Linked DNA regions of Canis lupus familiaris. The protein of the gene in region 1 purifies or fractionates together with the protein of each later gene. This does not show direct contact. Links are inferred from orthologs where the notes say so. Each region holds a gene or a part of one and is shown on either strand. Other genes may lie near its edges. The genes, in order: DRG1, LRRC41 and LARP7.

The links.
Region 2: the proteins of DRG1 (region 1) and LRRC41 purify together in Homo sapiens (affinity purification with mass spectrometry; 3 studies listed by BioGRID and IntAct, counting the BioPlex papers as one, with this or other methods). This does not show direct contact. The link is inferred for Canis lupus familiaris from reciprocal best matches to the Homo sapiens genes DRG1 and LRRC41.
Region 3: the proteins of DRG1 (region 1) and LARP7 purify together in Homo sapiens (affinity purification with mass spectrometry; 3 studies listed by BioGRID and IntAct, with this or other methods). This does not show direct contact. The link is inferred for Canis lupus familiaris from reciprocal best matches to the Homo sapiens genes DRG1 and LARP7.

The regions. Positions count from the first base shown.
Region 1 is NC_049247.1:24,736,053-24,739,798, forward strand, and holds the start of DRG1 (developmentally-regulated GTP-binding protein 1), read left to right. Parts: upstream 1-1,465; 5' UTR 1,466-1,589; coding exon 1,590-1,631; intron 1,632-2,452; coding exon 2,453-2,576; intron 2,577-3,746. UniProt on the Homo sapiens protein: Catalyzes the conversion of GTP to GDP through hydrolysis of the gamma-phosphate bond in GTP. Appears to have an intrinsic GTPase activity that is stimulated by ZC3H15/DFRP1 binding likely by increasing the affinity for the potassium ions.
Region 2 is NC_049236.1:14,183,463-14,187,208, reverse strand, and holds the start of LRRC41 (leucine-rich repeat-containing protein 41), read right to left. Parts: upstream 2,325-3,746; 5' UTR 2,043-2,324; coding exon 1,844-2,042; intron 185-1,843; exon of another isoform or gene 1-184. Other genes in the region: UQCRH (cytochrome b-c1 complex subunit 6, mitochondrial), read left to right, coding at 2,486-2,539. UniProt on the Homo sapiens protein: Probable substrate recognition component of an ECS (Elongin BC-CUL2/5-SOCS-box protein) E3 ubiquitin ligase complex which mediates the ubiquitination and subsequent proteasomal degradation of target proteins.
Region 3 is NC_049253.1:7,466,337-7,470,082, forward strand, and holds the start of LARP7 (la-related protein 7), read right to left. Parts: upstream 2,218-3,746; 5' UTR 2,040-2,217; intron 1,867-2,039; exon of another isoform or gene 1,658-1,866; intron 1-1,657. UniProt on the Homo sapiens protein: RNA-binding protein that specifically binds distinct small nuclear RNA (snRNAs) and regulates their processing and function.

The DNA.
Region 1 (3,746 bases):
TTCTGTTTCTGGCAAGTTGGAATTGTTCTTACTTACAAATTTAAATAAATAAACTTCCCTCCCAGGGCTGAGTGGAGGCCAGCCCTGTGGGTTAAACCTAGCCTGCGGACTCCCAGTGGATCAATCAATCTATCAACAAGAATTCATTGATCCCACAGGAAGCCGCTTTCAAAAGCAGCACATAGCTCCTGAATATCCCGGCTTCCTCTTCACAAGACACTTGGGGAAGAGGATTCTTTTGAAATTTTAAATTTTATTATTACACAAGTAATACATAGATAACATTCATCTTTTAAGTAATTTAGAAGACACAGGTATGTAGAATAACAAGTGAAAAGTCTTTTTCCCTCTTTCCTTGCATTCCACCCCACTGTTGAGAGCCTGAGACTGTATGCTTTAATTCAGACCTTTAAACAATGCATTTTCATACGTGTACACCTATATAAACAACTCATTTTAAAAAATTTTTTATTTACTTATGATAGTCACACAGAGAGAGAGAGAAGCAGGCTCCATGCACCGGGAGCCTGACGTGGGATTCAATCCTGGGGACCCAGGATCGCGCCCTGGGCCAAAGGCAGGCGCCAAACCGCTGCGCCACCCAGGGATCCCTAAACAACTCATTTAAGAAATACATTAAGTGGGATCACAACGTAGGTGCATTTATTCTTTTGTAAGCAGTATGTCCTGACATCCTTCCAGTCAGACCACACAGATCTGCTTTAACGACTGCAATACTTTTTTTTTTTACAGCACACAGGTGCCATTTATTTATCCATTTCCCTACTGATGAGCCTTAACACAGCTTCAAATTTTTCAGTATTACAAGCTATGTTGCAAGCACTGGTTCTCGGGCAATTATCTAATCAATCACGCACTTACTGCAGGCTCACCATGTGCCACGCACTGTACTCAGGGCTGGGGATTAACAAAACAGACCCCTAAATATAGCTTTGAGTGACCGAAAGGGTGCATTTTCTTTTTTCAAGAGGGCCAGACAGGCTGAAGATCGGTCTCTCTTCAATCCAGGAGGCCGAGGAGTCCGCCGGGGGGTCTCCCCGGGTGTCAGAAGGGGGGGGCTCAGGACCCCTCGCTGCCGGCGGAGCCGAGTGGATCGCCTGAGAGCGCTTTCCGCTCCCGCCCCGCGCCCACGCCCCGGGTCGGAGGCTGCGGGTGCAGCTTGCAGTAACCAGAAACCGCTCCTCGCACACCACGAGCCGGGCGCCGGGCGCCGAGCAGTGCGTGGGCGCAGGTCCGGCGGGGCGGGGCCGAGCGGCGCGCGACCCTCCGCGCGCTCGGGGAGGTACAGACCCGGGCGGCCTCTCTGGCCCCCGCTCCCGCGGGCTCTATGACACCGCGCTGGCTCGCGGGACGGGGCGGGGTTGGCTGAGGGGGGAAGAGATCACTCCAAGCCGTACGTCTCGCGGTGAGCTGCGCCTTGAACTCTCTCGCGAGACGTAGGAAGTCCCGCGCTTGCGCGCTGCGGTAGCGCCTGCTGGCCTGGGCAGGTCCGCCGGCGTTTGTGTGAGGGGTGGTCATCTGTGCGGAGGCCGCTACGCTCCCCAGCGACCTCCCAGGGACTCGCCATCATGAGCAGCACCTTAGCGAAGATCGCGGAGATCGAAGCCGAGGTAATGGGCACAGCTGGCGCTTCACTCTCCCTCGGAGTGTTCTTTCTTAGGTAGCGTTGCTCTTGCCCGTACTTTGTTCAGCCGCGTCAGGACCGGGCCTGCGTTCTCCTACTCCCCTCAGCCGGGCGCCGAGCCCCCCGACTCCCCTCAGCCGGGGCCCGCGTTCCACACCCCTGCTGCTTGGTCAGTGCCCCGTTCTAGTGTTCGGCTCCTGTCCGAATATCGCTCTTCTCAGTCTTCTTTTCTGTGAGCAGCACAGCCCCCCCACCTCCTCCCTCCTCCAGCCCTGACCCGCTCTCGCACCCCAGTATCTTTCATCATCTCCCAGAACCCGTCCCCCTTTCCCCAATCTCTCTACTCGGTAGACCGCGTTTCCCAGAGTATTGCTCCTAGGAATGGATCTGGGATAACATCTGCGGTAGCCTGTTGATTCCACCTGAACCAGCTGTGCTTCTGTTGTCTGAAGCTCTCAGTTCTTTAAAATTTGGAGAGTGGTGACCTTGTCAGATGGAGCATACCACGTACAAGCGGTAGAGAAGGACTCCGCAGCCGAGTTTCACTCTGATTTGTGGATGTTAATTTCAGTGACCTTGGTTGGTCTGTCCCTTCTACTTTGGGCCTCAGTTGACCTCTTTGTAATGAGGGGAATGGGCTGGGTGATGAAGAGGGTGAATTTTGACTCCAACTCTGACTAAAATGGGTATATTGACCTCAGATAGGATCTAGAAAAAAAATCCTTCACAGTTGGGAGAGCATTCATTCTGGATATTTTACCCTGTAAGAACTGCTTCTGATTTATAACTGTGATTCCTCCCTTGCAGATGGCTCGGACTCAAAAGAACAAGGCCACAGCACACCACCTAGGGCTGCTTAAGGCTCGCCTTGCTAAGCTTCGTAGAGAACTCATTACCCCAAAAGGTGGTGGTGGTGGTGGGCCAGGAGAAGGTTTGTGTTTTTCTTCAATGTTGGTGTGTTTTTTTGATGTAATTTCTTTCAAAATAATACAGGTGTATGGTTTAAAAAGAACTTTAAGCTGTCATATAGAAAAGTGTAGATGTGTATTTTCTAATCCTAAATTCTTGAGTGTGTTTAATTCTGCTGGTTTCAAAGGCCAATGAATGTTGTCTAAGGGATGAACTAGGGTTTTATACTGTATTTTTTTTTTTTAAGTTTATGTTTTTTACACACAACGTGGATCACGAACTCAAGATCCTGAGATTGAGATTTACGTGCTCCTCCAACTGAGCCAGCCAGGCACCCTTGTGTATATCCCATGGTGATCCAAAATAGGTTTTCGTTGGTTTACAGGAATACATAAATACTGTATTCCTAGAGGAGGGCCACGAATTTGGCTTTGACGTTGTTTGAGGCCATTATTTAAAAAAACAAAAACAAAACAAAAACCCGGTCAGTCACACAGTTTTTTTTTTTGTTTTTTTTTTTAAAAGATTTTTAAATTTATTTATTCACGAGAGGCAGAGATATAGAGAAGTAGGCCCCCTGCAAGGATCCCAATGCGGGACTCGATCCCAGACTCTGAGACCAGGGCCTGAACCGAAAGCAGGCGCTCCACTGCTGAGCCACCTAGACATCCCTCCCACAGAGTTTGTAAGACAAAAAAGAAACCCATTTTTCTCTTATTTAATCTTTTAAAAGCTTTTATTTTTTACTTAAATTTGTTTTTAATTCTAGCATTGATTTAACATAGTGTTGTATTACTTACAGGTATACAGTATAGTGCACAATATAGTGATTCAACACTTTCACTTTTTTTTTTTTTTTAAAGATTTTATTTATTTGAGAAAGCGCGAGTAGGGAGGGCCAGAGGGAGAGGGAGAAGCAGACTCCTCACTGAATGCAGAGTAGGGTTCAATCCTGGGACTGCAGGATCATGACCTGAACTGAAGGCAGACACTCAATTGCCTGAGCCACTCAGGCACCCAGTGATTCAAGGATTCTATACATTACCCAATGCTCATCACAAGTGCTCTTAATCTCCTTCACCAGTTCACCTGTCTCCCCACTCACCTCTCTTCTAGTGACCATCTGTTTGTTCTCTATGTTTAAGAGTCTGATTTTTTTTTTCTCTTTTTGCTTTTGTTTCTTATATTCCAA
Region 2 (3,746 bases), on another chromosome or scaffold:
TGACACAGCCAGTCTTCTCTGCCTTCTTCCACTTCCCAGGACTTTCCAGAGCCCCCTGCCCAGCTCCACTGAGGCTTCTCCTATTCCCCATGGGTCAGTCTGACCCTTCTTCTCTCAGCTGTTGGCATAGGGCCTCCACAATCCCCTCCCCCTACCAGCTTGAGGACTTCTAACAGTCTTTCCCACTACAGGAAGACACTTGGGCCTCTTTAGGACCAGCGCCCCACCCCCACCTCACCAAGGGCCTTCCCGCATCCCTGGGCCTTCTTTAGCCAGTCTCCAGAGTCTCCGGGCTTATTCCTGGAGGCCCAACCCCCCAAACTCCAGGGCCTTTTCTTCACAGCCACCTCCCCAGGTGCAACCCCCCCAATGCCCCCAATCCCAGGATCTCAAGCCCTCAACCTGACCTTACCAGGGCCTTCCTCCTGGCAAGACACTACCACCACTCCCGAGGCCTTCTTCAGAACCCCACCCCCTCACGGCCTGAGGCCTCCTCTCCTGCCACTCCTTCCCCCTTCTCTGGGCCCTAGGCCTGGCCTGGATCTCCTCACCCAACTTCGGACCCCACCCCCTCCACCACCAGTCTGTCAGGCCCAAGGCCGCCCTCAGCCCTCATCCCCTGTGCGGGCAGGCCTACCCCCCCTCCCCTCCCCACCCAGAGCCTTCGCTCTCCTCTTTCACTCTCACCATCAGGGTTCACAAGGCCAACTCGAGTTTTTCTCATCAGCTGCCAGTCTGGGTCCAGGGGCGCCCACCCCAAAGCCCGGCCTCCGCGTGCCCGTCGGCTGCGGGCCTCCTCTCCGGCGCTACCTGGCCGGCGCCGCCCGCCCTACTCCCAGGCCCACCGGCCCGGCCCGACCCGTCAGTTTGTCCCGCCGGGCCCCTCCGCCCAGCGCCGCGGGCCCGCCTCTGCCGCTCAGCCCCGGCCCGACCGTCCCGGCAGCTCAGGCCGGGGCCTCCTGTCGCTCCCACTCAGCCCAAGGCTTCCTCGCCGCGACGCGCCCCCTCCTCGCCGGGATCGGGGGGGCCTCCCTGGCCCTTCCCGCCTGTCCTTCATTCGAGCCTCCCTCGATTGCTGGACCCGCTCCGGCCTCCCTTCCCCGCTCGGGGCCCTTCCTCCGCGCAGGCCCATCCGAGTGGCCTCCGGCGCTCGCTGCTCTGCCCGTCAGTCGGGCGCTCAAGCAGTTTGGCACCCGAGGCCCCGGTCGTCAGTGCGCTCCCTTCAAGCCTGGGTCGTCGGACAGGCCGCGGCGCTCCAAGCCTTCTGGCCTCTCCCCGGCCCCTCGCTCGCCCATCCTCCGGGCTGCCTTCGCCCATCAGCCTGCCCTCCCGAGGCTCGGCACCCGCGGTCTGTCAAGCAGACGCGGGAGGCCCCGCGCGTCAGTCAGGCTAGGTGGCCCGGGGCCTGGCCTCCTCGCCCTAGGCCGGGACTCCCAACCTCGGCCCCCGCCCCCGAGCGGCAGGGCCATCCCTGGCCGTCGGTTCGGCATCCGAGACTCCGCAGCCCCGCTGGCCCCGAGCGTCAGTTCGGTGCCCACGGCCGGCCCGTCATTCCAGCTTCTGCCGCCCGGGCCCTGCCCGTCTGGCCCCAGACCGGGCCTCCTGGCCTCGCCCCCCGCGCCCCCCAGCCAGGCCGCGGCGCGGCTCCACCTGCCGATTTGCTCCCCGCCTTTACTCTGCACAGCCCGGTCAGTCACGGAATTCATGTTCCGACCCGACGGTGTGGCTTCTAGTGCCCCGGGCTGGGCCTTGCCCCAGGCCTCCCGGCCTCGCCCCCCGTGCCCCCCGGCCGCTGGGCCGCCTCCGCTCGTTGCCAGAGGTAGCCCCTCACCCCGCGACTTACCCCACACCCCGCTCTCCAGAACCCCCATATGGGCGCTCACCGCCCGCCCGCACAGCTCGAACAGGGCGGGGGGAGCGCTGGGGCCCGAGGCCGAGCTCTTCGCTGGCGCCGCCTCCCGGGACGTGGCCTCCATGGTCGTTGCCGCCGCTACCTCACAGAACCAGCAACTCCGGGCGCGCCAGGCCTCGGGCGCCGCCATCTTGGGGAGGTGCGCGAGCCCGAGAGTGGCGCCCGCGGGCCGCCATCTTGAAAAGGTCAGCAGTTAGGACGGTTTCATCAGCGATGTGGGTAATACTGGGAACTGCGCTAAAGGAACACCGAATAAATCCGAATTCTTCCCAAGTCTCTTAGGAGCCAAAATCTTAAATTAATTCGGAGATCGACGTAGTTGGCCCCGGCGCCATGAAGGGGATATTTCTTAGCAAATCCTCCTCAGGTGCAAATACCAGCTCCCCCCATCCCCTGCGTATGGACGGTAGTAGATGCCAATCCGAGCGTGTGTTCGCGACTACGACGAGTCTGCCGCACTTCCGGCCAGACCGCCGGATATCCGCCGAGTGACCCTTACAAGTCCTTCTTGATCCTGAAGTGGAGTAGGTGCCGCTGTTGCTGCTGGTGTTGAATTCAGAACTGTAGCGGGACATGGGGCTGGAGGACGAGCAAAAGATGCTGACCGGGTCCGGAGATCCCAAGGAGGTAAGGCAGGGCGACCGACTCGACCCTCTTCGCTGCCCGGAGGGAGGCTCAACACCTAGCCCGCCAAAACCCACCGGGCCCTGTTGGCCCTGGAGTCGCCCCTGGAGTTTGCACCGTCCGGATTGCTGGTTCCCTTGACCCTTCCCCAGAATTTGTCGATTCATCTTGGACAAGTAGATGACTAGCCTTTCTCTAGCTCCTGGTTTCCCCCGTCTGTGAATGCAGTGAAGGTGTAACGACAAAGAAATGCTGTGTCGCCTAAACTTTTGTAAAAATTGTATTTTTATTTTTAGTCGGTCAGGTGTTCCGAGACCCTAGTTTGGCAGGTTTAGAGAGCAGGCTGACCAGCGCTAGTGCTTCTCTCCACTCGGGTCAAGAATCCTGCCACATTTTCTGTGCAGGTTCCGAAGATCTGGCCTTATGCTAGTTTCTGTAAAGAAGTGGTGGTTTCTTTTTTTCGGTAGGGGTGAAGGTGGGAGATATATTTGGGGACAGTGTAGGAATGTGCCCCATAATTCTGTGCTGATGGAAGAGGGAGCTCTTTGCCAGAGTAAGAATGCCAATTTAATAATTATTTTTTGACTGCTTACTATTCCAAGTTATTTATATGTACCAATCCGTTTAAGCGACACACTAGTCCTAGAAGGTGAGTATTGGGTACTGTTCTTATTGTCATTTTACAGATGAAAAACTAGCACAGAAAGGTTAAATGTCTTTTCTAAGGACCACAGCTGGGAAATCATGGAGCCAGGACTTGAACCCAAGCAGCATGGTTTCTGACCCAACCAAGACTTAGTCACAGTGCTTCACAGCTTTACAGAAGCCAGCTACCTTTGTTTTCCAGTCACATTTCCTATCCTTTGTTCTCTAGTCCCTTCAGGGCAGCTGTTCCAGGTTTATGGGTTCAAAACAGATGGAAACTAGTTTATCCCAAGATTTTTCCTAGTCTTATTATTTTCAGAAAGAGGAGCAGAATGAAATGGAACCAGCCTCAGGATGTTCAGCAGGAAGTATACCAGAAAGTTCAGCACTCCTACCACAGCAGTAGATGAGAAAAAGCAAGGAGTCAGTTTTAAAATTAAGAAAACTGAGGTCTTTGGGGCGCCCAGGTGGTTCAGTTGGTTGGATGTCTGCCTTCAGCTGTGTCATGATCCCAGGGTGTTGGTATCCAGCTTCGACAGGCTTCCTGCTTGGTGGGGAGTCTGCT
Region 3 (3,746 bases), on another chromosome or scaffold:
AGGGGCTTTTACACAAACAATAAAGGTACTGTGTAACAATTCCAGTTACTTTAAATATTGTTTTAAATCCTCACAATCACAATTAGGTGGTTCCTTTCAAATTCTTTTTTACAGAGGCTTAAAAATTAAGTGAATTGGCCAAAATCAGCTGGGTAAACATGCTCAGTTAAGTGAACAAGCTCTGGTAAGTCTGACTCCCTTACACTGCCCACCTTTTAGTAGAACCTCTTACAGCCTGTCATGATACATTCTGTATTCTGACCCAGATATTCTTAACCTAAAGTCTATGGAATTTTGGGTGAGTTTCAAACATTCCTATGAATTCTGTGAAATTGATGAAAGATAAATTTTATTATTATTATTATTTTAGATTTTATGTATTTATTCATGAGAAACACAGAGAGAGGCAGAGGAAGAAGCAGACTCCCTGTGGGGAGACCGACCCGGGACTCATTCTGAGGAACCCGGTGTTACCACCTGAGCCAAAGGCAAACGCTCAACCGCTGAGCCACCCAGGTGCCCCAAAAGAGAAATTTTAAACAAAGGAATTTAAATATAAATTAACATAAAATGAATACGTATCAAATATTTTATTTTAGTGAAATTAATCAAGGAATTAGTTAAGTGTTAAAAAACTAGTTCAGGGGACACCTAGGTGGCTCAACGGTTCAGCATCTGCCTTCTGCCTTTGGCTCAGGGTGTGATCCAGGGTCTGGGGGTGGAGTCCCGCATTCGGCTCCCGGCAAGGAGCCTGCTCCCTCTGTCTCTTCCTCTCTCACCGTGTCTCTCATGAATAAATAAAATCTTAAAAAAAAAAACAAAACAAAAGAACTAGTTCTGGAGGGGACACTTGGCTGGCTCAGTCAGTAGAACACGCGACTCAATCCCGGGGTTGAGAGTTCAAGGCCCATATTGGGCATGGGGTCTACTTAAAATAGAGTAAATAAATAATAAATTTTAAAATATTCTATTAAAAAACTAGTTCAAAGGAGAATTAAAAGATCTAAGCAATCAGGAACACTGAAATGAATTTGTTAATAGATGCAAAACTGGTTAGGGCCATAACTACAAAATTGATTAACTACAAGACTTAAGTTCCATTATAATCGTTTCCTACAACTAACACAAATGTAAAATAGCTCAATGATAATGAAAGAGAGAACCTGGAAGAGCCAGCTAGAGAAGACATCCAGTATCTTTTTTCTTGGCCATTTCAAGGTGTTCCACAATTTCCCAGCAAAATCATACGTAAAATGTCTTGACGTGCATGCATCTTCCTAGGATGCTCATCCATAGCCTTTACCATTTTTAGAGGAAACGGTGTCAAAAACGTTAAGTCATTGTTCTACCATGGCTGACCATTCAACGGTACCAGAACACCGTGCCTGTTCTTTCAATTAGTCTTGTCTTTACTTGCCTTATAAACTCCTATTCAATTTTCAAGGCCCACGTTAAATGGCATCTTACTCTCTCCAGCTTTCCACCACCACGTCTCCCCTAATTTATTGCCTCCTCATCTATTTTCCCTCAAGCACATTTATTAACGCATTCAGTACACTCCACTGACATTTATAATTTGTTAGCTCCCTTCCGTAACTGGATTTTTCGATTCTCTGATGACAAAAACTAGAATCCCGAAAATAAGAAAGTGACTTAACTTTAAAAACTTAAGTGCTCACACTCGCTATCGTTTGGCCGCCAACGCTCACATCTACGAGGCCCGGCGATTTCACCTCTGGCTACGGCCCCCCGTCGACACCAGTCCTTTCCCAAGTACGCTGCCCAATACCGGGCGGGCCCCCGATCTCCTAAAGCCGGACGATATGCGCCCCCAATCTCCGAAAACTGGAACTACAAGGGCCGCTGAAGGACCTTTGCGCGTGCGCAGAGGAACAGGACGAGCAAACCGATGGGCTTGTGGGAGGGGACGAAGTGAAAGGGCCGACAGATGATAGAATGGAGCGCGTGACAAAGGACTTAGAAGACTTGAAGCCTCACTCAACCTGAGCGACACGATCTACAGTTTACTTCCAACTTACTCTGTCCAGTTCCCAAAATACTGGGCCGGTGATTTCGTCCTCCAACCTTTCCGTCTCCAGATCCTTATAGAGCTGGTTTCCGCGTCATAGGGTGGGCGACACGGTTCTCCCGTACGCCTCCGAAAAGGCGAGCGCGAGGACGGAGACGGCGCGCCCGGCGCTTGCGTCACGGGCGTGAGCTGGCGCAAGGGGCGGGGCGTCGGGTTACCCGGCTGGCCGAGGAGGCTCACAGACCACGAGAAGTTTTGATTGGCGGTTTGCAAACGTCGGTACTTGTGGGCGGGCTGAGTAGTGGGTCCTGATCCCGTGCGGTCCCGGGTTGATGACGTCACAGCCTTCCGCGGGAGAAATTCGAACGTGTGTTTTACGGACCGGTGAAGTCCTCTGCTTCTCTGGGAGTGAAGGTGGATAGGAAAGGGGATGTGAACGAGAGGCGGCGTCGCAATTTAGGGCAAAGTGTTGAGAGGCTCTATTGCGCCGGAAGCGAGCCGTTGCTGGTGCTGTTTGGAACCAGGTGTGGGGAGTGACAGCCTTTCCAGCCTCTGCGTTGCACTTCCGGCAATAAGTGTAAGGACCAGAGAGAGTTTTGCTCTTTGTGTTTATCTAGGCCTGACAGAGGGTCAAGTCTCACTGCCATTCGGTTACACAGAATCATGGTAATTATTATCTTGGCAATGAAATGTGGGCTTCTCTGGGTCATTTGGACTGAGCGACTTCTTAACAGGATACTGGGTTTGAGACTCTGGAACTTTTAAATCTGAACTATTTAGGGATTCTAAAGATCTTGCTTGTTCCAAAATAAAAAGACCAAAAACATCTCCTCGTACTTAAACATAAATAAGACTGGTTCATATTTTATGGAGAACACAGAATTTTATATATGAATGTATAAAGCAGCATAGGGACGTATGGGTAATGTCTTTGGGGAGGTAATGTGCACATCTGTGGTTATATAATTATTGCAGACATCTGAGGTATCCCTACCGCTTTTAAAACTTTGCACGTTGAACTTTTACCCGTTGGAGGTGGGTCAACATTTGACGTAGATGATTTTTAGAAAAAAAATTTTTCTTAAAGATTTTATTTATTTATTCATGAGAGACACACACAGAGAGAGAGAGAGAGAGAGAGGCAGAGAGAGACACGGGCAGAGGGAGAAGCAGGCTCCATGCAGGGAGCCCGACGCGGGACTGGATCCGGGATCACGCCCTGAGCGGGAGGCCGAGGTCTACTCAAGGGCTGAACCACTCAGGCGTCCCCAGATTTTTTCTTTTTTTCTTTTTTGTTTTTACTTTTCACTTAAATGCCATGTTGTTAGCTGATACCATTTCAACTATTTAACGGTAAACGGTATTTTAACTCCTTTGTTTTTTTTTTTTTTTACTCCTTTGAACGTAGGACTTAGGCCTCTTCTAAAGATTTTAGTATTTTATTTTTTAAAGATTTTATTTATTTATTCATGAGAGCACACAGAGAGAGAGGCAGAGATGCAGGCAGAGGGAGAAGCAAGCCCCTTGCAGGGAGCCCAACGTGGGACTCGACCCCAGGTCTCCAGGATCACACCCCAGGCTGCAGGCAGCGCTAAACCGCTGCGCCACCAGGGCTACCCTCCCTTATGCCTCCTATCAGCAACCAGAGCGATCTTTGTAAAACCCAAGTTAGATTATGTAATCTTATTCTTAAAACCCTACCATTTGCACTCCCTTT